Stegostoma tigrinum: one gene and its partners. The protein of the gene in region 3 interacts with the protein of the main gene of each other region in a biochemical or structural test. Links are inferred from orthologs where the notes say so. Each region holds a gene or a part of one and is shown on either strand. Other genes may lie near its edges.

Region 1 (8,843 bases), on a different chromosome or scaffold from region 3:
TTATAAAGTTTGAATTGCACACTAGTGTAGTCATTTAATAAACATATCTGCTGCTGGAATTTGAAATTATATGCCGGTCTCCATGATTTTCTCAGACTTGTGTAAAAATGTTTAAAAAAAGACACTAGTAGTTATGACTTTTCTGTTGGTGCTCTTTTTTACATTAGATATTTTACACTTAACCATATATGGAGTCAAACCACATATTTTGCACATCCCACAGCCAGTTTTACAATAATTGCTGTGCTCTGCATGTACACAGCAGCAATACACAATACCAAAAATACATATATGTCTACACCCATTTTAGCTGAGGTCAGACATTATAAGCTTATTATAGCACAGCCACACTTCTCCTTTACTTTCAGAATTCAGAATAGTGCTTAGGAGCGACCACAAAATTACAACACAGGGTGGATAATTTGCCAAAACCAAAATCACTATCTTGGAACTTTTAATGATAGTCCAAAATCCTGACAACAAATAAAATTCAGAATTAATAAGATATAGGTTTGCATTGTAATAACCTTTTGTGAAGTTGGAATGGACAGACTTGTGAGCCAATGCTCTACTCCTGTGCGCAAATTGTCAAATGGCTGCTACTAATGATGATGGAAAGCTATTACCTTTACTGAACTTGATTGCAAATACAAGTAACATTAACACACATTTATATAGTGCCTTTAACATAAGCGACATTATGAAGCATTATAAGAAGTTGTATCACAAGTAGGCATGAATGGGCTATATTGGGAGGATAATGGCAGAGTCATGTCACTTGGCTATAATTCCAAGGTCCAGGTAAATGCTCTGGGAACTTGGGTTCAAATCTTGCTACAGCAGCTTGTGGAGCTTAAAATTAACTAATTAAAACTCTAAACTTGAAAGTTAGTCATAGTAATAGTGATCATAAAACAACTACTTAGCTTTTAAAAAATCCCATCAGATTCATTGGTGCCCATTTAGAAATATGCCATTCTTCCCTTCTCTGGTCAACATGTGATTTCATGTCCACATCCATGTGGTTGGCTCTTAATTGCCCAATGAAGCGGCTGAGAAAGTCATTCCATTGTACTAAACTGCCACAGATAAATCAGAATCCAATTGATCAAGAAGGAGCTCACCACCACTGTCTTGCTGGCAATTAGCATTGGCCTTGCTGGCCTCATCAGAAATGACCACATCCCCTGAAATAATTTCTTGAAAAGTTTGCTCTATTGTTAGCCATGTCTGATATTGTAACTCGTGACAGTGAGAGGAATCACAAAGGTTATAGTATGGTTATAATACGCTCATACAAGTTCATTGGATTGAAAGACTTCCATCTCCATAGCACCTTTCACGATGTCAAGTTGGCCCAAAGTCCTTTGCAGCTAACTACATTTTTTATGAACTGCAGTTTCTGTTGTAGTGTATAAACTTTATACATACCTTTGGAATTAATAATCCAGTCACAATGTTTGTGTTTTTTCAAACACACCGAGATATAGCGAAAGGCTAAACTTATGTAACAGATTTACCCCAAGGAGTACATTTCATTAACATCTGTCTACTACAGAAAGACTCCATCAGTAAAGTTTGCCTCTGAACTCTGACTGATCGGAAAGTTTGGCTTGGGTGTGAGCGTGGGAGCAGGCTGAGGACAGGAAGCACATTCCCATAGAGTTTTTAACCCCCCACCCTTCCGTTAATAAGGATGTTTACAAGTAGTTGGGACTTTCTGGCAGCCATCACGAGACCCCAGTCTTGGAAGCTGGACACAAAAGCCTAAGAATCTTGCAGCTGTACTTCCATTCCCTATTGCTTCCCTAAGAGCTGGCCTATGTTAAAGGTCTCGAATGGAAGAAACAGCATAATGCAGTCGCTTCAGTGGTAAGGCTGGATGAAACATTAACATTGGTCCTCACACATTCTACTTCTCTTCATTACTAATTAAGGTTACATTGGGTTGTCCCACTGTCATTAAACCCAATCAAGTTAATTTAATAAAAGAACCCCCTTTCCTAAAGGGGACAAACAGTAAAAATACTAATCACGTAAAAAAAAGAGAAAATCTTGCATTTGTATCACCTTGCATTTATGAAACACCTCTCATCATCATTGGACATCTCACGTCTACTGCAAATGACATACTTTGGAAATGAGACCACTGCTGTAATGCCAGAATCTTGCCAGCCATGTTGCATACAGCTCATTGGCTGAGCCACAGTTGGCATGGAGATGCAGCATAAGTAATTAACTGCCAATATTAATTCTCTGGAAAGTCAGGTATAGATACTTGCTGATAGCAAGAACTGCAGATGTTGGAGTCAGAGACAACACAGTGTGGTGCTGGAGGAACACAGCAGACCAGGAAGCATCAGAGAAGCATGAAAGTTGACATTTGTGAAGGTTTCTGAAGAAGGGTCCCGACCCGAAGCGTCAACTTCCCTGCCTCTCTGATGCTGCCTGGCCTGCTGTGTTCCTCCCACTCCACACTGTGTTGTCTCAGGCAAAGATATTCATTGGTCATGGCATTGCTGTGGCAACCCAGCAAAGATTTGCAATCTCCATTACCCTTTGGTCCCCAGTGAAGAAGGTTCATGGTTTGTAACTTTGTCTAAGTAAACAAGTTCCTTTAGATTAATATATGTAGATTCTAGCACATCTAAATGATCACACTGCGAGCCCAAATGATAATCTGGAATTGGGGCTGGGTGTAATTCTTAGCACAATCTGGGTTATTTAATATGTGTTGTCCCAGGGCAGAATCACAATTAGATCAGACATAGTGTTCTGAGGCTTACAAGCACAGGTTGGGTTGAGCATGATTGGCAATTATGACACCAGGGATATCCCCCAGTGCTATTGAGCCTTTCATTCCTACCTGAGAGAGCAGATGGGGCTTTGAGTAGAATCTCATCTGAAAGATAGTATGTCAGTCTAACAGGTCAGCACTCAATATTCTTTTAGAATGGCAAAAATGATTTTTGTGCTTAAATCCCAGATTATGATTCGAACTCAAAACCCCTGACATAGAAACAAAATAAATTAAATGAGAATATTATTTTTGGCATTGACTAGCCATTGGACTCAAAATGTTAACTCTGTTTCTCTCTCTTCAAAGATACTGCCAGACCCATCGTATTTTTCCAGCAGTTTCTGTTTATGTTTCAAATTTCCAGCATCAACAGTTTCTTGTTTTATTCTCCTTTTCGAGGGACACTGGGCACAAATAAGACTGCAGAAGTGAGGGAGGCACTTCTACTCACTGACCATGCACAACCTCTAACATAGTCCAGCTGCTGCATAAGCAACAATCTGTGTATGCTTAGCATTATATACACTGTACAGCACAAACCACAAGCACATATGCACCCCTAAACTTTATCAGCTTGCCCTTGCTCGGATTCATTGGTAGCTCAGTGGTTAGCACTACAGCCTCACAGCACCAGGAATTTGGATTTGCTTCCAGTCTCAGGTGACTGTATGTGAGGAGTTTATACATTCTCCCCATGTCTGTGTGGGTTTCCTCCCACAGTCCAAAGATGTGCAGCTTAGGTCGACTGGCGTGCTAAATTGTCCATAGTGTCCTGGGCTGTGTAGGATAGGTGGATTAGCTATGATTATAGGGTAGGGGTGGGTCTGGGATGCTCTTTGAAGGCTTGGTGTGGATTTGATGCGCTGAACAGTCTGCTTCCAGACTCTGGGGATCCTGTGACTTCTTATTTCTAAGCTTGTAATGGAGTTTTGTACAGAAGTTAAATGTCTTCCTGATGATTTCAGCTCATGACTTACCCTCAGGCCCAAATCATTAGCGAGCCAATCCAATTACCATTGCACAGAAAGCCAAAAAAAACTCCTTTATCAAATTGGATGATACCAGCCAAACAAACACTGTGCCATATTTTAAGCCGGCTAAAGCGAAACAATGAAAGAAAATTATTTTTAAAATATCATTATTAAACCTCCCTGAGAATTTCCTCTGGGGTTGTACACAACGCTGCTCTGGAGACTTCAGACCAATCCTGAAGTGTTGGCACATCAGTCTCCCTTTCCCCTCTAAATCGAATCTTAAAGCTCTGTCTAACTCAGCATTGGTCTGTCCCTCGGGTTGGCCCAATATAGTCGGGGAACACCAGAGTACCACAGCACGTTGTGAAAGATGGGGATGGGAAGCCTGGCTGAGCTAGGACACCCTGAATCAAACCTTGCTGTTCACGCCGGCTTTCAGTAGGTGGCAGTCAGTCTAAATGCAGGGACCCCGCTAAAGAACTTGAACTTTGGGAGAAAGAGAGACCCAATATTATTATTGTTTATAGCGTGTCATCGCCGCACTTGGTTGGTACGCCTTGCTGTCGTTTCCAGCGATTAGCATTTCTGACCCGCAGACTTCATTTAGAATGCGGTTTCGCTCGGCAACGCGGGGAACTTTTTGATGCAAACGACAGGAGAGAAACAAAAGCTCGTTTTATGTGGGTTGCGAACAGCCGGAGGTTTTGTTTTTGCGCGTTTCTGTGCAGGCTGGAAGTTTCCGAGGAGACTTTGAGGGGAGGTGCGCTGGCGCCGAGTCTCCTTCTCTTCCTTTGGCGTTCCTGGTGGAAATTGAACTCCAAGTTTGGCGAGTTATCACTGGAACTGAGCGGATACCCGGACTGGGAGCGTACAACAGCGGCGGCTCGTAGAGACAGAAGATCACAAGCACACGCTCCCGGGAGTAACCGCAACGGCAACGAATTAAAATAAAAGGAGAAAGTTTATTTCCACCGGAGTAACCAAGTGACCCTGAAATTGCAAGACGGGGACTGAAACGCCCAAGGGGGCCGCGAGGATGGCCAAAGACCACCTGAAACCCCGCTTGTGCCACATGATAAAAGCGGAAAATGGCTACGGTTTCCACTTGCACGGGGAGAAAGGCAAAAACGGCCAATACATCCGTAAAGTAGAGCCCGGTTCACCGGCGGAGGCGTCGGGTCTTTGCGCCGGGGACCGGGTGGTCGAAGTTAACGGCGAGAACGTGGAGAAGGAGACGCACCATCAGGTAAAAACAAAACAAATTTGGAAACGCGCATGGCTTGCAAAGTTTTTATTTAATTTTTTTAAAGCGTATGCAGCTCCCGTCTTGCGGGCACGCAGCGAGTAATCGGTAGGTCCCCGCAGTGTGTTGGTGAACCCACACGAAGGGGAAAGGGGTGCAGCAGGATGGAGTTGATCGTTGATACTCCACATTGATCAATCAGACATGTCCAGCCGCGGGGAAGGTACTGGCCAGAATGCCGGTCCCCAAAATGGTTCGAGGGTGCTGCATCTGGGACACGGTTTTACAAAGGATAACCTTTATTGATTCATAATTGGAAACATTTTAATACCGAATGAATTGCAAAATGCAGGAGCGATGCGTTTTTGTGCGCTTGCCCTTTGTGTTTTGCTTTAGTAAGTGAATACTATTTGAATATTTGAACGCAGGCAAAGCAACCCTGACCTTGAAGGATCAATAAAGATTGTTTTGACAGTCAGTGTGTTTCATATCCAAGCGACCGATGCCTCGACGGATTTTACACTGAGCCCTTATGGCTTCGGTTGAGAACCCCAGCCTAAACTTGAGGGATTTATCGGTGCAGTCTGCCCTCTGAAATGCTGGTGTAGCCTCACATCAATTGCACTCGTCGCATTATACTGCTGGAGAAACATTTGTTTTAAAAAGTCTGTAGGCAGCGGTAAAAAGTGACTTCTCATATGTTGCCACTCCCAAGTGATACAAACACTTCTTTTTTGCACGTTAGTGTCATGTTTCAATTTACAATGAAACCAAAGAGCGTACACATGAGAGTTCATTTCACCCGATTACCAATGTGACATTATCCAGATGCGTGAACTCTAGCCCAGCCAGATTATAACATGCTTGGGTTTATGGTCGATATAGTTCAGTGGATGGGGGTGGATTAGAAGTTCATTGTGTTTTTTTTTGAAAAGCACCGTTTAGTAATATTACAAAAGTTTACCTCATGTGAAGGAACTTTGGTGAATAGGGCGCTTGGACTTGAGACATGTGGTCACGTGATTCTTATTTTCAGGCTGCTTATTTAAAAGTTCAACCATTAGACTGTGTATTCCAGCGTAAAAATGCCGGGAAAGACCTGGTGTGTTCACAGACCTCCACTGCAGCAACTCGGTGATGCTGAATATGGTTATACCGAACAGTGTTAGAAGCAGGAGAAATTGTAAATGGGAAATAAGGGAGAACCATAACTTCTCTGTCCAGCTCACTGTTCCAGGAGCTGAGCACCTGGAATTTCCCAGTGTTCTGCCTTTCAGTTGCTCCTATTGGCATCATCCTCCAGATCAGCTTTTACAACAATACAGTAATATTCACTCAGAGCCAAAACTCCTGGAGTCCTTGAACTTTTAGTGGATGATTGAGTTTGGCTTTGAGACAATATTTTGTGTTATCATGTCTTTGATCTTATTCCTTCAACAAAGTCTCCTCAAGCCTCACTCTATAAAAATTGTCCTCTTGTTTTCATTACCTTCACCTCCAGCAACAAGTCCAAGGAGGTTGTGGTATTTTTTCTATCACTAAGATTGAGACTATCTGATCGGCAATGTCTGTTGGGTTCCTCCCTACCTGTACCATCCTAGGTCAAACCTCCTTGAAAGCTTATTCCTGCCCTAGTTTTACTCCTTGGGTTCTGTCCCTACCCCCTTTCACATTTTCCCTCACTACCCCTCTTCAAACTGACAGTCGACCACTTTGACCTTGTAAATGCTCCCCCATCCAACATTGTCTAATGAAGCAATTGAGCAATCTGGGACCTTTTCTCATTGGAGGTTAGAAATATTGATAGGGTAAATACTAAATACATTCTCATTGCATTGGGGATTGTAGAGATAAGGGACACAGGTTCAGAATGAAGCATCTCCAATCTAGGATGAGGGTGAATTCTTCCCTAATTTTGTGAATTTCCATAAAGGGCTGTAGAAACTTTAATCATTGAACGTATTTGGTACTGAGTTGTAGATATCCTAAACTATAAAGGTATCGAGCTTTATAGGGACTAGGTGATCAGTGGAATTGAGACCCGATCAGCTATGGTTTTATTAAGCAAGCTTGAGGGACTGTGTTGATTACTTTCCTGTTTCTTATTCTGGTGTTCTTTCTAGAATCGTTGAATGAGGTTACCATTTTCCAAATTCATATCCAAGTTTCCTAGAACACTACATCTCTCCACCTAGATCTCTGCCCACTAATGGTGTTGAGATAGCTGCTGTCTTTACAGAGTTGTGAGAGCATGGAATGTGTTGCCAGCAGCAGTTGTGGAAGCAAGGTCATTGGGGTCATTTAAGAGACTGCTGGACATGCATATGGTCACAGAAATTTGAGGGTGCGTACATGAGGATCAATGGTCGCTACAACATTGTGGGCTGAAGGGCCTGTTCTGTGCTGTACTGTTCTATGTTCTATGTTCTATAAGGAAATGCTAGAGACCTAAAGAGAAACTCATTTACTCAATGAGTTGTGAATCTCTGGGATTCTTCATGCCAGAGAGTTCCGAATGCTCAGGCATTGAGAGTCTTCAAGAAAGAGCATTTTAATCTTCTCTTTACAGAGAGAGGACTAGTGGTGCTTTAACCTGACAGTCACCATGCTTCACATTTGGGGAGAGGGATATGGGGCTAGTGTGGATAAAAAGAGTTAGAGCAGACCTGAGGTGCCATGTGGTTTGCTTCTGCGCTTCTTCCTCTTTAATGTATCTGATTGCAAGGTACATATTAGGAGGAGTTACTGAATTTCAGAGACAACATTGAAATTTGATCCCATTCTGCTTCAAATTAAACAATTCCTGCTCATGTAACTTCCCTAGAGCTTTCACAGTCAGTAAAGCTTTTTGGGATGATGCTTTGATATTAGCAGAAGCCTCAAGAATTGCACTCATTAGAATTGCTGACAAGCTTCTTGTTTTCTTCTAAAGGTTTTGATGTTGAAACTTGATGCTTAACACAGTGTTTATTGTAATCAGCATGCATTTATCGAAAGGTTGTGACCCTCTTTGTCTTCACCAGGTCGTGCACCGGATCAAGGCACTGGAGAATGAGACAAGACTACTAGTGGTGGACAAGGAGACTGATGAATACCTGCGTAATCAGCGGCTCGCTGGTACAGAGGATTACGGCCAGAACCTCCCAGCAGTTAAGACCAAGGACAATGGTGAAGTGTGGAAACCGCAAGTAGTTCTGAGCAGTGGTGAGCCTACAAGATTATCAAACAAGTCCATTGATAGCAATAACAAGGTAAGAGCCCTTTTGAAAAAATAAGGTGAGACATGGGAGTTAAGTTGCCCAGTTGCCCAACATTTTATGAAAAATTAACTTCCATTTTTCTCAATGATTTTTTTAGTGATGGACAATCTCCAATTGCGTTTGACAAACATTGGAAGGGATCATTCAATGTAGAAGCTGCCTCATATGACAAACAAGGGAGTCAAGGGGTTTTGGGGGCTAGGCAGGAAAACTATTAAATCAGTCGTGATCTTATTGAATGGCAGAGCATACACGAGGGGCCAAATAAATTACTATTGTTCCCAATTTATACGATTATATAACTTGCATGCCCAAATTACTTTTCTTGTTATCAAAATCTGAATATTAAAACACTTCTGAGGCAATAGCAACTTTCAAGGCAGCAATATAAGAACTTTACAATGTGTAATATAATTGTATAACAACTGTATACAGGACTGCAAATCAAAGGAATATGCCTAATTTTAGTGGCATTTTCAAACGGAGAGTTAGAAGTAGTGAGGAGAAGCCTTTATTGAATCTGTTACACTTTTTGGGGTGGTATGGTTGATTCTGGCATTTTATTT
Region 2 (8,543 bases), on a different chromosome or scaffold from region 3:
CCTTAGTGATATCTGAGTTGGTTGATGCTTGTGGTGTAGATCAACGCTGATTTGCAATCAGGCCTCATACTATAGTTGGGAGACAATGATGGCTTGTTGTGTCCAGTAATTGAAATTGGCTCTGCTCGGTTACTTCTGTTCGGGGTTTAGCCTCACTAAGACTCTAAGTTGATGAAATGAACCATTTAGTGCACTAGCTCCCCTCCAGAGACATGGATTCAAACCAATAACATGTAAATTTTGGACTAATATCAAGAAATACTGCTTCACAAGGTGAATGTTCATTATTTGAAATGGACTCCCAGATACAACAGTAAAAGCAAAAACCCTGGAATTGTTGCACAAACATGCAGTAGTATGTATTGTAGGGCCTTGCTGGATCTTGACTTCCCCGTCATATTAACTTGTAATATCCAGTATAAATTTTCGTCTCTGCATTTCTGTCTTTCATGGCCTTCATCTATATTTCTTTACATTTGTTGCTGCATATTTCTTTCTCTCATACTGTAACTCACAATTTCCCTCTGTGTGCATGTTTACTTCAGTTCTGTTCTCCTACCTCTTTCTGTCTCTTTCTTCATATTTCTACCTTCTTGTTCTCCTTCTCTGTATTTCTGTCCCATTTTCCTTTGTGTGGATAAATATAATGTGACATGGAAAGATGAACAGCAGGAACTATACACCAATCACCAAGCAGGGAGAAACAAATGCATAAATTGTTAAGTAAGGGAATATAGTTGGTAAAGAAACAGGTACATGGGAGTCTAGGTTTTCTAAACAGCTGTGACAATTGTTCCAGTATTCTCAGGAAATGAAATCTGCTGGAGAGAAGGGAAAGAGGAAATTTAACAGCGATATATCATGAAAGGTTTGATAAAAAAGGCAAACTATTTCTCTGGCTGAGGAGGCAGCGCAGTTGAGGAATACATTTTCAAATTGTCACAAGCAGACTGTAATTAGAAAAGAGAAAAATGTCTTTAAGAGGAGTGGCTTTGCTGTAAACAGTACATTTTAGGACAAAATTGGATGAATAACTGAAGCCAAGCAAGGGACAGTACTGTGGAGAAGAGAATTAATCAATGGGATTTATTTTGGATCACTCCAGCTCAGTTCTGACAAGAGCACATCCTCCTTTTGTGTTATACATGCCCACATTTCATGGATACAGGTAGATACATTGATTGGGATGTACCCACTCAGAAATAGTAGGGAAGGCAGTGGGCAGGACAAATAATCGGGGGAATTGCCTCCTTCCCTCCACTACGGGAGTTAAATTCTAGGTGGAGTGGATCCTGGTCAACCTTCCTGATCTGAGGCTAATTAAGATCCTTAAATGGTCAATTAATGATCAGTCAAGGGCTTCATTCTGCCACTGGTACAATTTAACTATGTTCCATATAGATGAGCAAAGTGGCCACCTTTTCAACAAACCACAATGGGGCAGACTGTTTTCTTGGCTGAGGAGAGGCTAATTTGCCTCAGTCTGGAGGTGGGAGCAAGCTGCGAGTGGCCTCTTCTACATTGGTGAGACCAAGCAGAGACTCTGAGACCGTTTTGTAGAGCATCTGCGCTCAGTACGTGACCAATGACAACACCTTCCAGTCGCCAACCATTTTAACTCCCCCTCCCACGCCCTGGTGACATGTCCATCCTGGGTATTCTCCAGTGTCACAATGACACCACCCGCAAACTCGAGGAACAACACCTCATATTCCACCTCGGGAGCCTACAGCCTGATGGCCTGAAAGTGGAATTCACCAGTTTTAAAATCTCCCCATCCCCAGTCTCATCCCATGTCCAACCCTCCCTCTCATCCCCGCCTCCTTGACCTCACACAACCTGTCCATCCTCTCTCCCACCTGTCCACCCCACCCATCCCACTGACGCATCTCCTCCACTCCCTACGTGTACTCACTATCATCATCCCACCTCTCTTTCCCCAGTCCCATTCCTCCTCTATTTATTTCCTAACTCCCTTCTGACTCCCCATTTCTGAGCAAGGGTCCCAATCCGAAATATCAACTTTCCTGGTCCTCTAATGCTGCCTCGTATTCTGTGTTTTTCCAGCTCCACACTGTTATCTCTGACTCCCGCATCTGCAGTTCTTGTTTATCTTTTTCTGAACAATAATCTGCTCACCAATACATAATCTCGGTTCTGTCAGTACCAATCAGTTCCCGTCTTCATTACGTTCTTTGATCAAACTCAGACAAAATAACTAACTCTCAGAGGCAATATGGGTGTGACTGCCCTTGATATCAGAAAGCATTTGATTTGAGTTACACATCAAATAACCCAGCTTCAGGAGGCAACTTTAGAAGTTCCTCATGTCAGTGTCCTCGGCCCAAGCAACTTTTGGCTGCCTCAGTGACCCTATTATAAAGCTGGAATTAATGACATTCATTGATTTAATCTGTTCAGATTTAAATACAATTCTTAAGTTAGTGAAGGTGCATGCAACCAGACTTGGACAGCAATCATGCTTACTCTGACAAGCTCCCAAGCCATGACCATCTCCAACCAACAGGAGGGAGTCTAACCATCACCCCTTGAGATTCAAGAACATGATAAGTGCTGAATACATCACTATCTGTCTCCTGGAGGTTGCCATTGACCGGAAAATTAACTGGACCAGCTACATAAAAAAGTGATTACAAGAGGTTAAAGGCTGAGTATTCTACAATAAGTAACATATCTCCTAACTCTCCAAACATATTCCATCATTGATAAGGCATAACTTAGGAATGACATTGAATACTATCCACCTGCCTGGAAGACTGCAACTCCAATAACACTTCAGAAGCAACCTAATTGGCATTCCATTCATCACAATAAACTTCCACAGCCTCCACCACTGGCGTTCAGGGGTTGCACTGAATATACAAGATGCATCAACTCCTCAAGGATTCTTTGATACCACCTCCGAAAGTCCTGTGCCTGCCTAGAAGAACAAAGGTGCATTGAGAAACCACTTGCCACATGTGCCCCTTCAAGTTACACACCATCCTGATTTGTAACATATGCTGGTTTTGCAAGTGACATGTATGTCCCAAAAATTATTAGGCTGAGAGAAGTCTCTGAAAAGATGTGCAGACATTCTTATATTATTTTTGATTGGCTGCTGACTTAATGTAATACTGAGTAAAGCAATTTTAATCTGTTTTATTTCAGGATATTTTTAAAAAGTAATTTAAATGATGTATCTAAGACAGAGAGTACCCCAGTCACTTGGAGCCCAGCTGACTGTTCTTGTGAGATGAATTATGGATTTCAAGAATCAGGTTTATGAGAGTTGGTGGAGTAAAATCTCTTTGATATTTAGACAATTTGAGAATTATGAAACTTGTAAATTATTGTAATATTGACAGTTCAATGATATAACATCTGTAAATGTGCAGTTTTGTACAGAGTAGTGCTTGATTACCAGTTCACTATTCAACAGATTTGACCATTGGTTGGTACACTGCGTCCAACCTCTGCATTGTCATTGTAATAAACGTTCACACCATTTGATTAACTCAAGGGTTATATATATTCAACACTTACACTTTACTGTCTCAGAGAAAAATCAAAGGAGGTCGCCTCAGTTGAAACAAATGAATTGAAGACTCTGTTGAGAAATGTTGGATAATGATGTGTTTCCACAGATTGCTCAAGATTTGGGGAGTATTGACTGTCCATTCTTGCTTTAGATCAATGTACGTAAGATGTCAACATTATTTTCATGTCAAACACATTGTGATGATCCACTTCCCTAGTTCTTCTGAGTCCATAATGTTCTTTTCCTATATAATCAATGTTAGAATTCTCCTGACTCTAACTCCATTTACATCTGAATATCCCCAGCTGCTCCTTTTAAAGCAGCAATTAAGAGCAGAATGATTGGTGATCCTGCACTTCACGTGTGTGTCTGTTTTTTGGACACTGTGCAGCTCCTCCTGCATTAGCTGCTGCTGGGATGAATTCAAAGGGAAACGTGTTCTCATTCTGCAAGAGGCAGGACTTCCTCTTGTATATCAGAGATACTGCAAAAGACAACGTATGCAGCTGGTGCACAAGAGTCGACTGTACGAGAAGGACAGTGGTGCCAGTATCTCATGGCTGACAGGATTCTCTGCTTTGAAAAATGATGTTGTAAAGTTTTTGTTTTAAAAGCACTTGAGGCGAAGTTGAATCCAGGACTTCTGTTTTATCCTATGCCCAATACACCATAGTTTTAAATCTACAACTATGGCTAAACGTGAAAGTATTGTGAACCGAGTGAAGAGGTTGCTGAGAAGCCGAAAGTCCAAACATGGCTTGAGTCAGGGGCCGGGCGACTTACCTTCTTCGCCCAAAGATTTCTGTAAGTGTGTCACTGCTGTGAGCTCTTTCACAAATGGCTTTTAATCTGCTGATTTACATCTCCATAGCAACCATGCCTAATGACAGTGAATCCTTCTGTGGTGCAAACCTTGTGGTTTCAACAAGTAATGTGAAGAATCAGCTGATTAAGGATTTGGGGGAGGTGTGTTTTGTGGGTTGTGAAGCTAGGACGTGATGTGTAATCTACAATAAACACAAGCAACAGACTTTTAAATTTTAAAAGTAGAGGAATTTCTCCAGTGTGTTAGGCTTCAGGGGATAGGATTTGGGTCTGTGACTTGTTAGATTGGAATTCTTCATCTCTTCCAGGCTGTTAAGAACATTTGCCAGTGGGTCTCTTGCAGAACTGGATCACAGATAATGATAAAACAATTTTAATCTGAAATTTGGTTTAGTTGGATGAAAAGTGTTGTGTGTTGTCAAGGAAACTTTAGATATTAAAGCTCAGACTTGTTTAGCTATTAAACTGCTTACCACCTTTCCTTTGTGATGAACATTCCAAGGCAGTTCGTTAAGCTGAAACAGTACTACTTAGGTTTATTCAGAGGCTAAACATAACTTCAAGCAACAATATTTCTGTCTCATTATTTTAAGTTTATTGTCATATTTGAAAATTAATTTAAATGCTTTTTATAGAAAACACATGGACGTTAAGCAACAACAGTACATTTTAAATTATCTACAAGGTTTTCAAATTTGTGGAAGATTAGAATAAAAATTATGAGCAAGTATAAGATGGATTCCAGTTCACATCTATCTTTGAGAGAGACACATGAAAATGGGTCACATTTTCAATCCAAATGAGTAAGTGTGGGCAGTTTTTTCTATTTGCTTTCATACCTATTGTATAAAATTATGATACTATATGCCCAGAATTTATATTGTATCATTCTGAATATGTTAACTATTTAGTTTTTCTCTTTTTTACCATTCAACAGCATTGAATGGCTCTTCAGTTCTGTTCTTTTGATCATACCTACATTTACCCTCAGGTTGTCTCATCTACCGGAATTGATACCCCAGATTTTCACACAATGATTCTTTTATTATATGGCTTGCACATAGATTATGTAGCACCAAGCAGTGAAATTGCAGATGCAGAAATGAAGGGCACATGCATCAAAATACTGTCAAATAAATCTTTGGGAGGATTTTTTTCTTGCTTTTGATATTTTGGGTTTTCCTTTGTAAGAGATTTTGGCAGATAGAGCATAACGGATAAAAATGAGAAACGCTTACAGCCTTTAAAATTCTAGATGTTATACACATTAACCCAGATTCTGAGTAAGCGCCTTTACCGTGAATGCACCTGACCCAATATATGAGGAAGTGCCATGTTGAGTTTTTGCAAAGTAAGACTCACCCATTATTTTGAATAAGCTACAAACACAGGTCATTAGAAACACTCATCTGTAGCATATGTTACTAAACACCATGACATCCAGTGAGAACTAAGCTCTCAAAGGTATTAGAATGAATTGTGTTATGGACTGAAAGATATCCATTTGTCCACAGACCATACAAATAAAAGTAGACACTGTAAGCATTGATTTCATCTGCCATAAATTTAAACTCATCCAGAATCCTGTATGTTTCCTAACTTCTCACCAAATCCCTTTCACTTATCAACACTGTGCTTGCTCACCAATGCTGAGGTGTTGCTTAAACAGGAATCAGTTTTAACCTTTTCATCCTTGTTTTCAAATCCCTTGATGGCTTTGGCCTGCCTTATTCCTGTAACCTTCTCAAACTCCATAAACCCCTAAGATACATGTAATCTACATTCCTGCAATATTGGTCTCTTTAATATTCATCCCCACCCCTCATTTACTTTGGTAATTCTTCTCAAAACTTCTCCAGCTGTACCCTTCCTTGAGACATTACCTCTCCTTCTCCTTTAAAGCCTATATCTGGATCAAGCTTTTGGTCATTGTCTTATTTCCCCTTATGAGACACAGTGTTAGATAATAAAGGCCCTTGATATGACTAGGACATTTTACTGTGCAAAAGGCCCATTTTAAATGTAAGTTGCAGTTGTTGGAGGTGCCCCAAATAAGGGTGGCGCTACATGAAGCTAAATCCATCTTGTAAAAATACAGGTGTCCACTTGCATGTAGAGAAGATCAATGAAGTCACCAATTCCCTGATTAACTTGATTAAATGCACATGCATTTTGCATTCATCAGCATGAGTTATTACCTCTTACCAGCATGACTGATCCCATTATTCTCTCTTACCTCATATGTGCATCAAGTTTCCTCTTAGATGTGTTCATGATATCTGCTTTAACACTATGTGTCAGCAGATGCCAAATTGTTGGGCTGTGGTCTGGCTTGTGCTATATGCAAACCAGAAATGGGACTCTTGGGCTATAAATTAATTTAAATGTAATTATATAATTATAAACCAGTTAGAAGTGGAACTATTTGTGGGGGAAAAACAGTTTGAAGTGGGGTTGTTGGGTTTTAAGTTGCTTAAGGAAAAGTCTCATTGGAGTGTTTGTAATGGGATTTTGAATTAAACCTGAAGATGGCCTGAAATGGAATTATTCACTAAATATTGGATTAAAATGGAACTGTTGGACAATAAACTAACCTGAAGTGGGATTGAGTATTTTATCATCGAAATCCAGATTATTTATAGAATAATAAATTGATACACCAGAGATGGAGGCCATTTGGCTTATTGTGTCTCTGCTTGGTCTTTGGAAGAGCTAACCAATTACTTTCAGTCCCCTGTTCTTTCTCCTTAATCTAGCAATGTATTTTCCAGTTCCTTTTTAAAAGTTATTATTGTCTTTGCTCCCATCAGACTTTCAAATGTTGCAGTTCTGATCATTGTAACTCACCACTTGTTGCCTCTGGTTCTTCTGCCAGTCACCTTAAATCTTTGTCTTCTAATTATTGATCCTCCCCCCTTGGAAAAAGTTAACTTTTCTAAAAATAAAATTATTATTCATGAGTTGTGGCTGTTGTTGGCTGAGAAAGTATTTATTGCCTTAGCACCCAAGCAGTAACCTTTGAGTTCCAAAAACACCATCCTAGTCTGACATTACACCCCTCACAGGAATTTTCTACTTCCTGTTTCTTAAACAGTTTCTTTTAACATTGCTTTCTATATTCTGAATTCCAGACTGTTTGCAATCGGCTTAATTCTATTGGAATCTAAAATTCCCTCTTTTGTTTCACTCTAGTTCCGATAATGTCAAGCAACAATCAAGAATGGCCAGAAGAGTTTGGATTTCATATCAGTGGGAATGGTCCATGCTACATCCTTTCCGTGCAAGAGGGCAGTAGCGCGCACATTGCTGGTCTGCAGCCAGGGGATCAGATTCTGGAAATTGAGGGACAGGATGTATCATCCCTGAGTAGTGATACAATAATCAATTTAGCCAGACATTGTAAAACTGTTCCTCCTAGCATTGGTGTGGTGTCTCGTATTGAGCAGATAGAACTCCTGCCTGCAGCAGATGGAAGATTTGGTTTCAACCTGAGTGGTGACAGCCCTTTGCAGATCGAGGATTGCCTCCCAGATTCGCCTGCAGCCGAGCTTGGACTCAAGAGTGGTGACTATATTATGGAGGTTAATGGGATTCCAGTAAAAAACTATGAAGTTGCAGCTTCCATGATAAAGGCCAATCATGGGAAACCATTGAAACTGGGAGTCCTATGCTTTGGGAAGAGACAAAAACGGATCAGCAGCAGTATCCGTGAATATGTTCAGAATGCCGATGCGATACATCAGGAGAGGAAGTTTAAAGCTTTGGAATTTAATAAAAAGGTAGGAGACTGCCAGCCAAGCAGAAAGGACCTGTTTGTGATAATTTGCAAAGATTCTGGAGCATTGGGATCTCTGGATGAATAGGATTTGTCCACCCAGTGAAAACATAAACCTTTACTTCAGGCTTAACAACATTAAAGGGGTGGCTCAGTGGCTAGCACTGCTGCCTTACAGCACCAGGGACCCAAGTTCAATTCCAGCCTTGGGAAACCATCTGTGTGGAGTTTGCACACTTGCCCTGTGCTCCAGTTTCCTCCCAGGTTCCAAAGATGTACAGGTTAGTTGGATTGGCTGTGCTAAATTGCCCATAGTGTCCAGGGATGTGTAGGCTAGGCAGATTAGCCATAGGAAATGCAGAGATACAGGGATACGGTAGGGGGATGGGGATGGTTCTGGGT
Region 3 (11,134 bases):
TCCCATTTGTGATTTGGACAAGCTGAGTGAGCAAGCAAATGTGAGGCAGATGAAGTGTAACATGAATAGACATGAAGTTATCCAATTTGGTTGCAAAAACAGAGAGGCAGATTATCTGAATGATAATAGATTGGAAAGGAAGAACTGCAATGAAACCTAGCTGTCCTGGTACACCAGTCACTGAAAATAAGTATGCAGGCTTTGCAGGTGGTGAAGAAAGCAAATGGTATGTTGGTCTTCAAAGCGAAAGGATTCAATTACAGGAACAGGGATGTCTTGTTGCAATTGTGAAGCAGATGGTTGATGCCAAAACATTGAATGTTTTCGAGATGGAGTTAGATGTAGTTCTTAGAGCTAAAGGAAAAAAGTGGGAATGTGACACTGATTGGATAAACAGCCATGATCACATTGAATTATGGAGCAGGCTTAAAGGACTGACTAGCCCATACCTGTTGTTTTCTACATTTCCATGCAAATTTTCAACAGCATGTCATTTTTGCAGCAATATTCAAGTTGTGAACTGTCAAGTTACTATTTATACTAAAATCCTGCATCAGGGCAGGATCTCCTACTGGATGCTGGAAATTGTCTAATGGGAAGGAGTAGTTGCTTATCATCAAGAGCTTCAGAGGGGTCATATCTCGAAGCATAATAGGTCCCATAACTGCTCTGCTTTAAGAACTTGGAGAAATCTATGGAGATGTTTGGAATAAGTGAGTGTGGAAGTGACAGAGCCACAATTGAGGGTTTCAGTAGCATCTCAGATAACTGTGGGCATGTTCCAGAGTTGTAAGTAGATTGTTTTCTGATGGAGAGTCTATTTGGATAGATCTGATTTGGGTTCATTCAGGGTGTTGAGATAGCAAACAGTCTAGCTGAGTTTGAGCTTGTGGTGGAAATGAGGATGGAATCAGTAGCCGTGATACAAAGTTTATGGTGGGAGCTGAAGGTGAAGATGATAAAGATTCAGCCTTCCTTCTTGCTAATATTTAACTACAGGAAAAATAGTTGCTTATTTCAAACTGGATGCTTATTAAGCAGACTAACAAACAGTGTAATTGGAATTGTTGAGAGAGATTTGGCCAACATCAGTGTGCAAATGAAAGCTGATGAACTGACATGCAGAATCAAAACAGGACAAGTCCATAGTTAGATCCCTCAGGCACTCAAGCGATAATGGTGTGGGGTAATAACGAATAAACACTGCTTATGTTCTTGATACAATCAAATAGTCAAATAGGAAGCCAAGTACAAAGTAAATATGGCATACATTTTTAGCCTTATGATGAGTTCTTCTGCTTATTGTAGTGAGGGATTTGATGGGGAAATGGAATAATGTTCAAAATGTCAAATGCATTTTCCATTTTCCCTTTGTTACAGATAGCAGGTTGTCAAGGTAACTAGAGAACGAGGAAGGGAAGAAAGAATGAACCTGAAGAGTTATTTTCACCTGCAGCAAAGTAGCATTTCAGCAATCACAAACACTTACGGATTTCTCAAAGGTTTCATTATGTACACTGTACATATGACTGGCTAATGGAGTTGCAATGGACACTAAGTGCAGACTGATGAACAAATAATAAATGAATAAAATTAAACAAAGACAGCTGATTTTAATTTGTGACAGTTCTGTTTTTCAACTCTTTCACCCAAGACTACTCTTACAACTTCTTCATATTAGCCTGAAATAAATCATTCCCTAATATGGTAAATATTTTTTTCAATTTCTTTAAATTGCTCATAATTTGAAAACTGTTCATAAGGATTTTTAAAGATCTTTGCTTATAATCCTTATGCTACTTTTTAATGCAGTGTAGACAATGTACATCAGAGCCAGATGCTCCATTTGAGATTTGCACACCAAGGTGTATAGAAATAAATAAAGTGTTTCCTTACATTAGGTATGTGTTAGAGGACATTTAATAGTTATTAGTTCAGCATTATTCGTTTATCTTTCAATGTTGAAATCTCACTGCTTACTATAACTTTGGATGGGCATTGTTATATCACTGGCAGTAAGCCCAGAGGAAAAAAGCAAAGTTACAAAGTGCCAAAGGTTCATGGAATTTTTTTCCTGGTCAGCAGTCTGAAGTAGGTAGACTAGCATGCATTAGATCATTCAGGTTCAAACTGTAAGCTGTTCTTTCTGTTCAAATGTCCTGCAGCCTCTTACAATCAAAAAATGATGTAATGATTTTTGATGTTTTTAAAATTACAGATATCAATATACAATCACATTTAATTTTGTAAAATTAGTACATTAATACCAAAAAAAATTTTCTGAATTATTTTTGGAACATTTTGTATTAGACATGATGATAAACATTATAAATAAATAACAGGCATTCATTACATTGTATGTTTCACTTTATCAATATATGACCATAGCACAGACTACTAAGAGACACAAACAGCTCCCTCTGTTTAGTATTTTTTTAAATGTCATTAATTGAATGATGTACTAAGGGAGCAACATTCAGAATAAATACATTGAATAGTACAGTCAAGGCACTGAACTTGTTTGTTACATTTTTGATGGATTTGTGTGTTCATTGTGGCCAAGAATTGCTGGAGAATGGAACAAATATTTGAAGAGAAGGGGACATAAACTGAGGGAGCCAAACTTAAAATTAATGGACAAGCTTATATAATCAGAACCATTTTAACCTCTGTCTGGCTTAACTTCCAAGTTCTGTTTATACAAGAGACTGGATGCCTTAGCACCAGCGGCAACACATGAACAACTATGAGGCAGCTCAAAATTTGCAGTTGCTGGGAATATGTACTGTGTCAGGACAGCATTACTAGTCTGACTGGGAAGGCTGACTTCAGAACCAGAAACATTTGGCAGCCAGCAGCATTCTCCAGTAAAGTAAAATGCTGTCTGCCATAGGCTGCAATATATACATTGTTGCAGCAGTTGCACTTCCTATGCTGCAGTGAGGAAATTGCCTCAAGGTGGTTCTCTGTCTGTCGAACTACTGATGAAGTCAGCAGCTCCTTCAGCTGGAATGCTGCAAGATACATGCAGCACAAACTGCAGTGACACTAGTCACAATGTAGGTCAGCTTTTCTTATAGGCACGCTGCATGGTCCTTTCTCACCAATACCAGAATGTTGGTAAAGTATGACTTTTTGTTTTTTCTTTTTCATTGGAAATAACTAAAACATTAGGCTTTATTTATTAAGTTTTACTGTCACGTGTACTCAAGTACAGGGATGCAGGAGCACAGTGAAAGGTTTACAATGTCACCATTCATGAAGCCATCTTAGGTTTCAAGCTACCTAGGTACAAAATCTTTGAAAAAATAAAGAAATGTTAAAAGTTGAACATTGCAGTTCTTGTCAGCATAAAGCAGTAAATAAGAAATAAAGTTAAAAGTTCCAAATTACAGTCCTTCATTAATCATGAACCTGCAGTTGCTCTGTGCTGGGCTTTTCTCACAGGGGCTCAAACTCTCTCCCGTGCTGGGCTTGACCTCTTGATCCCTGCACCTCCGTGCTGCATTCTCGCTGCCAATCACCATCTAACATGTTAATATATTAAAATACTAAATAATATGCTCTTCTATATCTCAATGTTAATAAGACAAAATATCAATCTCTTGCAAGTTGCTAAGATTGATCAGTAACCTGAAAAACTTAAATAAGGACTTTTATAGATCTTTGTTTGCAATCCCTGTGCTACTCTTTAATGCAGTATACACATAAATCAAAATCAAATGCTTCATTCCAGCAGTATATGCCAAGGCACGTAGAAAGAAATAAACTTTTCTAAACATTAGACATGTTATATTAACATTGGAGAAGCTAGAATTGGTCTCCCACTCCCATTTCTGATAATATTAACTCCATGTCCATATTAGCCAATATTGTAGATAGTTATACCTTCAGGTCCTCTATTCTCTAAATCTGCTGTCATCACACCTCTCCTTGACATTACCATGAAGGAGTCTCCTCTCAACTTCTCCTCTTACTCAAGGTCGGCACAACATCGAGGCCCGAAGGGCCTGTACTGTGCTGTAATGTTCTATGTGTAGTGATCCTCAAGTTAAACCACTGCCAGTAGTCTTCCTCTAATGAGACAGCAGTCTTATGGTCTGGTAAGACTATGGTGACTTTACACAGTAATAGAAGTGTACAGCATGGAAACAGGCCCTTCAGCCCAACCTGTCCATGCTGACCAGGTTTCCTAAACCAAATTAGTCTCCTTTTACTTTGAGAGATTACACTTTGATACTTCTTCCTTTGCAACTGACCATGTTTTCTATGATCTTCTGTTTCTTTCCAAAGTTCTTAAAAAGTGTTGTGGTCTCCCAAAATTTGTTCTAAACTTTTTCACAGCTCATGTTTGAATCCTTGCAATAAGGGCTCTGCAACACAGCAGCACCTAACAGGTCTTGTGAAAATCATAAATGACATCCTACATGATTGCAATAAAGGTACGATATTCCTTCTCATCCTGTGTGCAGTCTTTTACATGATCAATCACACGAATCCTCCTCGGCTGGGATTGGGCTCTTATAGCACAGTCATAATATCCCTACTTCTGATCCAGGAGGCCGAGATTTAAAACCCATCTGCTCCAAGGGTGTGTAACAACATTTGTGCACAGATTGGTTAGAAAATATCTATCACTGCTTCTAGCTGGGTCCATTCTTATCTAACTGTAGCCACTAGCAACAGCTTCTCTTCCTCAATCTCTCAGATATCTCTGACATCTTCCACAAATCTAAACTTGTCTCCCATTTGTCTTGCATCTACCTGCTGTCATTATCTAAAATCAGCGTTGGTTTTAAAAGTAGATTCCCACTCCATCTCATTACCTACTATCTTGACTTTTCCATGACAGTTAAATTACCGGTTTATCACAGAATCCATACAGTGTGGAAACAGACCCTGGGCGCAACAAGTCCACACCGACCCAGAGAGCCTATATAGACCCATGCCCCTCTCTCACCTAATCTACACATCCCTGAACACTACGGGCAATTTAGCACAGCCAATCCATTTAGTCTGCATATCTTTGGACTGTGGAGGGAAACTGAACCCGGGTCCCTGGTGCTGTGAGGCAGCAGTGCTAACCACTGAGCTACTCCTAGCGCACAGTACTGGGCCAGCAGAAATGTTTTCCAATCAAATATTAGGAGGTTTAAACTATTGTTTTTGGTTCCAGCTCCAATTCTGTTTCCTAACTACTATTTTCACTATGACTAATTCTGTCCCTCTTGCTAACAATTTTCTGAGAATCGGGCAGTCTGTTACTTAACTTGGTGTCACGTTCAATCCTGAGATGAACTTCTGACCTCATTCCTATGATCTCTAAAACTGTTTAATTCTAATTCTGTGACAAGTTTGTCCCTACCTTAGCTGATCTGCTCCTGAAACTCTCATTCATAAGAGCATAAGAACTAGGAGCAGGATTAGGCCATCTGGCCCTTGAACCTGCTCCACTATTTAATAAGATCTTTTTGAGACTCAGCTCCACTTGCCCGCCCACTCACCATAACCCTCAATTCCTTAACTGTTCAAAAATTTATCTAGCCTTGCCTTAAAAACATTCTGTGAGGTAGATTCAACAGCTTCAATGGACAGGGAATTCCACAGATCCACAACCCTTTGGGTGAAGAAATTCCTCCTGACCTCAGTCCTACGTCTGCTTCCCTTTAGTTTGCGGCGATGCCCTCTAGTCGTAGTTTCACCTGCTAGTGGAAACAACCTCCCTGCCTCCATCTTATTTATTTCCTTCATAATATGTTTCTATAAGATCTTCCCTCATTCTCCTGAATTCCAATGAGTATAATCCCAGTCTACTCAGTCTCTCCTCATAATCCAACCCTCTCAATTCTGGAATCAACTGAGTGAATCTCCTCTGCACCTCCTCCAGTGCTAGGATATCGCTTCTCAAGTAAGGGATCCAAAACTGCACACAGTACTCCAGGTGTACATACTAGTCATACCTACTTAGTTCTCGATTCAAGTCTTCCATTGCATTCCATACTACTCCCCCAAATTCTGCCCTCTATAAAGTTGAGGACATATATAGTTTTATAATACATTTGTGGACTTAATTACATTAGATGCATTAGATACACTTAAGCTGTTGTTGTTAATGTTCTTAAAGTGGAGAAGGGGAAATCGAATAGACCTATTCATTAACATTAGCCATTTTAGAGGAGCAAGTACAGAAAAAAAAACTTCCTTAGGCAGAGAGGAAAGGACCAGAGGTGATAGAGTTCAAATAACTGGCCACTAAGCCAGAGAGAAAATGAGGATACATTTCTTCTGGTTAAAATTTGAAACACACTATTTCAAAAAAAAATTCCAAATATAAAACAATTGAACGTGAAGAAAGGACCGGGCGAATACATCACAGAAATTTAACAGCACAGGAAAGGCCGATCGGCCCATCATGCACTTGCCCCTGAAATGAACATCAGTGGCGCCTGCCAATTTTCCGGTAACCACCCGTATCTTGCGCGGGACTAATTGAGCCTGTCCTTCATAGAACCCGTACAAATATGATGCGCCCGTTGGTGTCCTTCTGAGGTGTAACACTTTACGGTTGGAACGCTGAGGAGGACCACTTCCACACGCACGGCACCCATCGACGTTGCCTGACCTTTTCTGAGATTGCCATTAGAACCTCGTCCACTCCCCACCATTTCGTGCCATGCCACAGCCACACGTATGGACGTCGCCTGACGCGATGACGTAATCGCGCGAGGGTGGTGAGTGGCAGGCGCCAGAGAGCTCGAGCTGAGCAGCAGTTCACGATCGGAACCCGCGAGAAGGGAAGGGAAAAGAGCGAGAGAAGAGTCGGGTCTTGGTGTCACTTCACCCAGCGGTATAAACTCATCAGAAAGGATCCAATACTCTGTGCAGTTATCTCTCACCTACCTGGACAGAGCTCAGCGACAGCGGGCAACTCTCTCCGGAAACATTCACACTGACAGGGATTTGCCTCTTGTCCCGTTTCTCAGTCGGTTGCAGGATGCCGTTGGCACAGTTAGCTGGTCCTTGGCCCAAAGTGGACCTGGTTCACCTAGAGACCGAGGTAAATATTTGCAACAAGTCATAACCAGACTAGAGGGAGTGTAAACTCAGCTGAGAGAGAAATGTCATTCAGAAGGAAAAGCGATACTCTTAATCCAGCTCTTGCTGTTTGGCATACAGTGAGCTGACTTGCTAAGCTCCAGCGCTTGGGGAAATTCCTCAGAAGTTGAAAGGTCCAAGGTGGGCTTCTCCGATCGCTCACACTTTCCAATGGAGGGCGGGTTAGTGTACTAAAATCATTGTCAAATGTAGCTAAATTGCTGTTTGGGGCGCCGTTGAATTTTATCGAAACAGCATCTGCAGAGGATCGAAGCGGCAGGATAACAATTCAGTTACCTTAGGCATTGCAAATGTTGGTTATGTTGCCACATTGTGGTTGCAATTATGACTATTTTTTTGGGGAAAAAATATCAGTGTTTGGCAGTTGCGTGCTTTGTGTCACCGCGTCTTCTTTGTTCAGTGATTGCGTGTGGTATCTAGCCTCCGACTTAGGATTCTGCTAACTTCAAAAATATTAATTAACGCAAAAATGAGCGCATACCTTTATATCTTTAAAAGGACGTCACATTTACGGACATTTTTTGCCAAAATTGTTTTTTATTTAGAAAATAGTGAAATGAATTATGCCGCATATTGAAGCAGCAGCTGCTGATGAAAGTGACTCGAAAAAAAAGACTATGGCCCTAATGACATTATGAACACTTTATTTAACGCATGTATGACCTTGCACCCGCAGCTACCAAATGGTTTCGTCTTCCATAATTTTCGCTTTCTAACCAAAATAATGATTTGCCACATGCTTCGTGGAGTCATCACGCAGAATGAAAACCTGAGATTGGGAGAGCGGTGAAAAGGAATTGTGTGTACAGTGGGCAAGAAAGGAACGGAGTTGCATCTAGAGCGGAACTGCTAGACAATGTACTGGAATAATTTTATTGCATCCTTCTGTACTTGAGAAGCAGGGTTTAAAAGATGAACAACGGAATATTGAAAGAAAGTAGAAAGAAACACATTGATATTGAAGCAACATTTCCCGAGGGAGGAAATTGGATCTGGGGCAGTACTATAATAAAAGCTCCTGATGGATAAAACATTACGGTTCACTTTATAAATCAAAATCGGGCTGATACGTGGCAAAATTTAGGTTTCATGGCTTGCTAATCTATTACTTCTTTCACATTTTATTGAGAAAAAAGTATTCAAAGTGATAGCAACATTTCACAGCTGAATGTGCATATTAACAACATGCGACAGAAATATAATTCTTGAAAAACAATGGTTTGTTTAAAATAGTTTAATTGAACCAGTGAGGGAAAAGATCATCTGCAATTCCATTGGAGATCTAATCCATTAAATTCTCTAGAATTTGTTACAATAAATAGTTCTTGTTTTGGTATCTATTGATCTCAGGCACTGACTATTTTGGATAAGTTCTTGACTCAAGAGTGTGAACTATCCAGTTGAAATGTTCAGGTACCAATTAAGATTGCATAACTGTATAACAATGTTCCACCTGATAAGTCTTTGATTCTCCTCAAAAACACAATCTTTGCACTCAGAGTTCTTGCACTCTAGCAACCCAACACAAGATTGCTGCAGGCCATCATCAGCAGCAGAATTGTACTCAAACACAACTGCAACCTTGTATCAGAGATAATGGGAACTGCAGATGCTGGAGAATTCCAAGATAATAAAATGTGAGGCTGGATGAACACAGCAGGCCAAGCAGCCTTGTAATTTGGGAAATCCTCCACTTTACCATTTCCATCAGGTCAGGGGATCAACCCTAGTTCAATGAAGATTGCAGGAGGACATGCAAGGAGCAGCAGCTGATGTACCTAAAAATGGGATGTCAACCTGGTGAAGCTACACAACAGGACTATTTGGAGCCAAAATGAAATAATATTCAGAGTTAAGCAATCCAACCAATGGATCTGATCTAACCTTTGCAATTCTGCCACATCCAGTCATGAGGGGCACTGGACAATTAAACACCTCACTGAAGGAGGAGCTCCAAAAAAATCCCCATTGTCAAATGATGAAGGAGCCTAGCATGTCAATACAAAAGATAATGCTGAAGCATTTGCAACAGTGCTCTGTCAAAAGTGCCAGGTACTATATCAAGGAACTGTCGAAGGCACTACACACTGCATAGGCTCTGTCAATGTTCTGGCAATCGTACTGAAGCTATAAGCTGCAGAATTTGCTGTGCACCAAGACAAATGGTTCTAGGACAGCTGCAACACTGGCATCTACCTGACAATGTGGAAAATTGCTCAGATCCATTCTGTATAAAGCAGGGCAAATCCAATTAAGTTGGTTATGTTCGCCTCATTCTTCTCTCGATTATCAGTAAAATGATGAAAAGAGTCATCATAGTGTTATCAGGTTGCACTTTCTTAGCAAGAACCTGCTGTCTACACTCAGCTTGGGTTCCACCAGGGCCACTCAGCTCCTGACTTCACAACAGCCTTTGTTTAACAAAGACATCAAAGCTGCATTTGACCAAATGTGGTATCAAGGAGCTCTAGCAAAACTAATGTCAGTGGGAATCAGGGAGAATCTCTCCACAGTTTGGAGCCATACCTGAGGCAAAGGAAGATGATCGTGATTGTTGGAGGCCAGTCATCTTTGTTCCAGGATATCTTTTTGGGAATTCCAAGGGTAATGTCAGAGGCCTAATTGTCTTCAGCTGCTTCATCGATTACATCTTCATTATAAGATCAGATGTGGGAAGCTTCCTCAGAGAATGAAGCAGCCCACATTCAAATGCAGCAGGACCTGGATAATATCCAAGTTTGAACTGACAAGTGACAAGTGAAATTCACATCAAACAAGTGCCAGGGAATGATCATATCCAGCAAGAGTGAGCTTAACTTTCAGCCCATGACATTCAATGTCATTTCCATCACTGAAACTCCCATAGAGGTCACCATTATCCAGAAATTGAACTGGAATAGCCAAATAAATACAGTGGCTACAAGGCCAGGTCAGAAGTTAGGATTCTGTAGTGAGTAACTCACCTTCTGACTCCCCAAAATCTATCCATCATACATAAGACTCAAGTTAGGAGTCTGACTAGATTCCTTCCAAGTTCCACAATGAGTTCAGCTCCAATATTTTAGAAGTTAGACACCATCCAGAACCCAACAGCCCAATTAAACCACATCTAGAAACATTCACTCCTTCAATCACCAATGCTCCATTACAGCAGTGTGCCCATCTACAAAGTACACTGTATAATTACACAAGTGTTTCAAGGACAGTACCCTCCAAACCCCTGGCTATGAACATATAGAAGGGCAAAGCAGCAGATACATGGGCTGACTACCATATGCAAGTTCTTCTCCAAGCCAGTCTCAATCCTGACTTGGGACTACATCACAGTTCCTTCACTGCTGGGCCTTCACTCCTGGAACACCCCATTCCCAACATCATTGTGGATCTACAGACAACAAGTTATCTGCAGCAGTTCAAGAAGACCATTACTTCCTTGAATCCAACTCAGGAATTGACAATGCATGTTACCTGAGCCAGTAATGCCCATATCCCAAAAATGGGAAAAAAAATCCAATTTCTTTTTCCTTTCAAATTCCTGGAATTTGTTGTCACTTCCCAAAACTGAAAGTATATTTTCCGGAACTCCATGTTTGAACCCACCCAGCAAAGCTACCACCCCGACATGGTAACAAAACTGTTCTTATTAAAGGTGTTATATTTGGCAACCTGTCAGAAAAATATCCTCTATCTTTTTTCTGTGAGCTGCCTGAAGCCTTTGGCATTGCTGATTATGTGAATCTTGAACATCAAAGCACTGCTGAGAAGCTCAGTGGAACTGCTGTCTTCTGGTTCATGCTTATCTATCTAGTTGTAGACAGATTATTGCTTACAATAGTTTCCCTTTAAACTAATGTGCAGTTATCTTTGTGTCTGAAGGATACTTCAAATCTATATTCTGCCGTTTGGGCAACATTGTTCAGAAATAGAACATTAGTTTCCATGTGATCATTAACAATATGCAGCTCACTACCATCTCCCTAAATTGTTACATTACTTGTCCAGATTCTAGTACTAGTTC

The links. The genes of interacting proteins can lie anywhere in the genome.
Region 1: the proteins of ribosomal protein S6 kinase 2 alpha-like (region 3) and Na(+)/H(+) exchange regulatory cofactor NHE-RF2 interact in a test that uses a peptide from one of them, tested with the Homo sapiens proteins (2 studies listed by BioGRID and IntAct). The link is inferred for Stegostoma tigrinum from reciprocal best matches to the Homo sapiens genes RPS6KA1 and NHERF2.
Region 2: the proteins of ribosomal protein S6 kinase 2 alpha-like (region 3) and delphilin-like interact in a test that uses a peptide from one of them, tested with the Homo sapiens proteins (2 studies listed by BioGRID and IntAct, with this or other methods). The link is inferred for Stegostoma tigrinum from reciprocal best matches to the Homo sapiens genes RPS6KA1 and GRID2IP.

What each region holds. Positions count from the first base shown.
Region 1 is NC_081376.1:38,052,780-38,061,622, forward strand, and holds the start of Na(+)/H(+) exchange regulatory cofactor NHE-RF2, read left to right. Parts: upstream 1-4,273; 5' UTR 4,274-4,810; coding exon 4,811-5,020; intron 5,021-8,040; coding exon 8,041-8,268; intron 8,269-8,843.
Region 2 is NC_081376.1:20,777,441-20,785,983, forward strand, and holds the start of delphilin-like, read left to right. Parts: upstream 1-3,973; 5' UTR 3,974-4,230; coding exon 4,231-4,345; intron 4,346-7,558; coding exon 7,559-8,145; intron 8,146-8,543.
Region 3 is NC_081377.1:32,186,283-32,197,416, reverse strand, and holds the start of ribosomal protein S6 kinase 2 alpha-like, read left to right. Parts: upstream 1-6,747; 5' UTR 6,748-6,994; coding exon 6,995-7,057; intron 7,058-11,134. UniProt on the Homo sapiens protein: Serine/threonine-protein kinase that acts downstream of ERK (MAPK1/ERK2 and MAPK3/ERK1) signaling and mediates mitogenic and stress-induced activation of the transcription factors CREB1, ETV1/ER81 and NR4A1/NUR77, regulates translation through RPS6 and EIF4B phosphorylation, and mediates cellular proliferation, survival, and differentiation by modulating mTOR signaling and repressing pro-apoptotic function of BAD and DAPK1.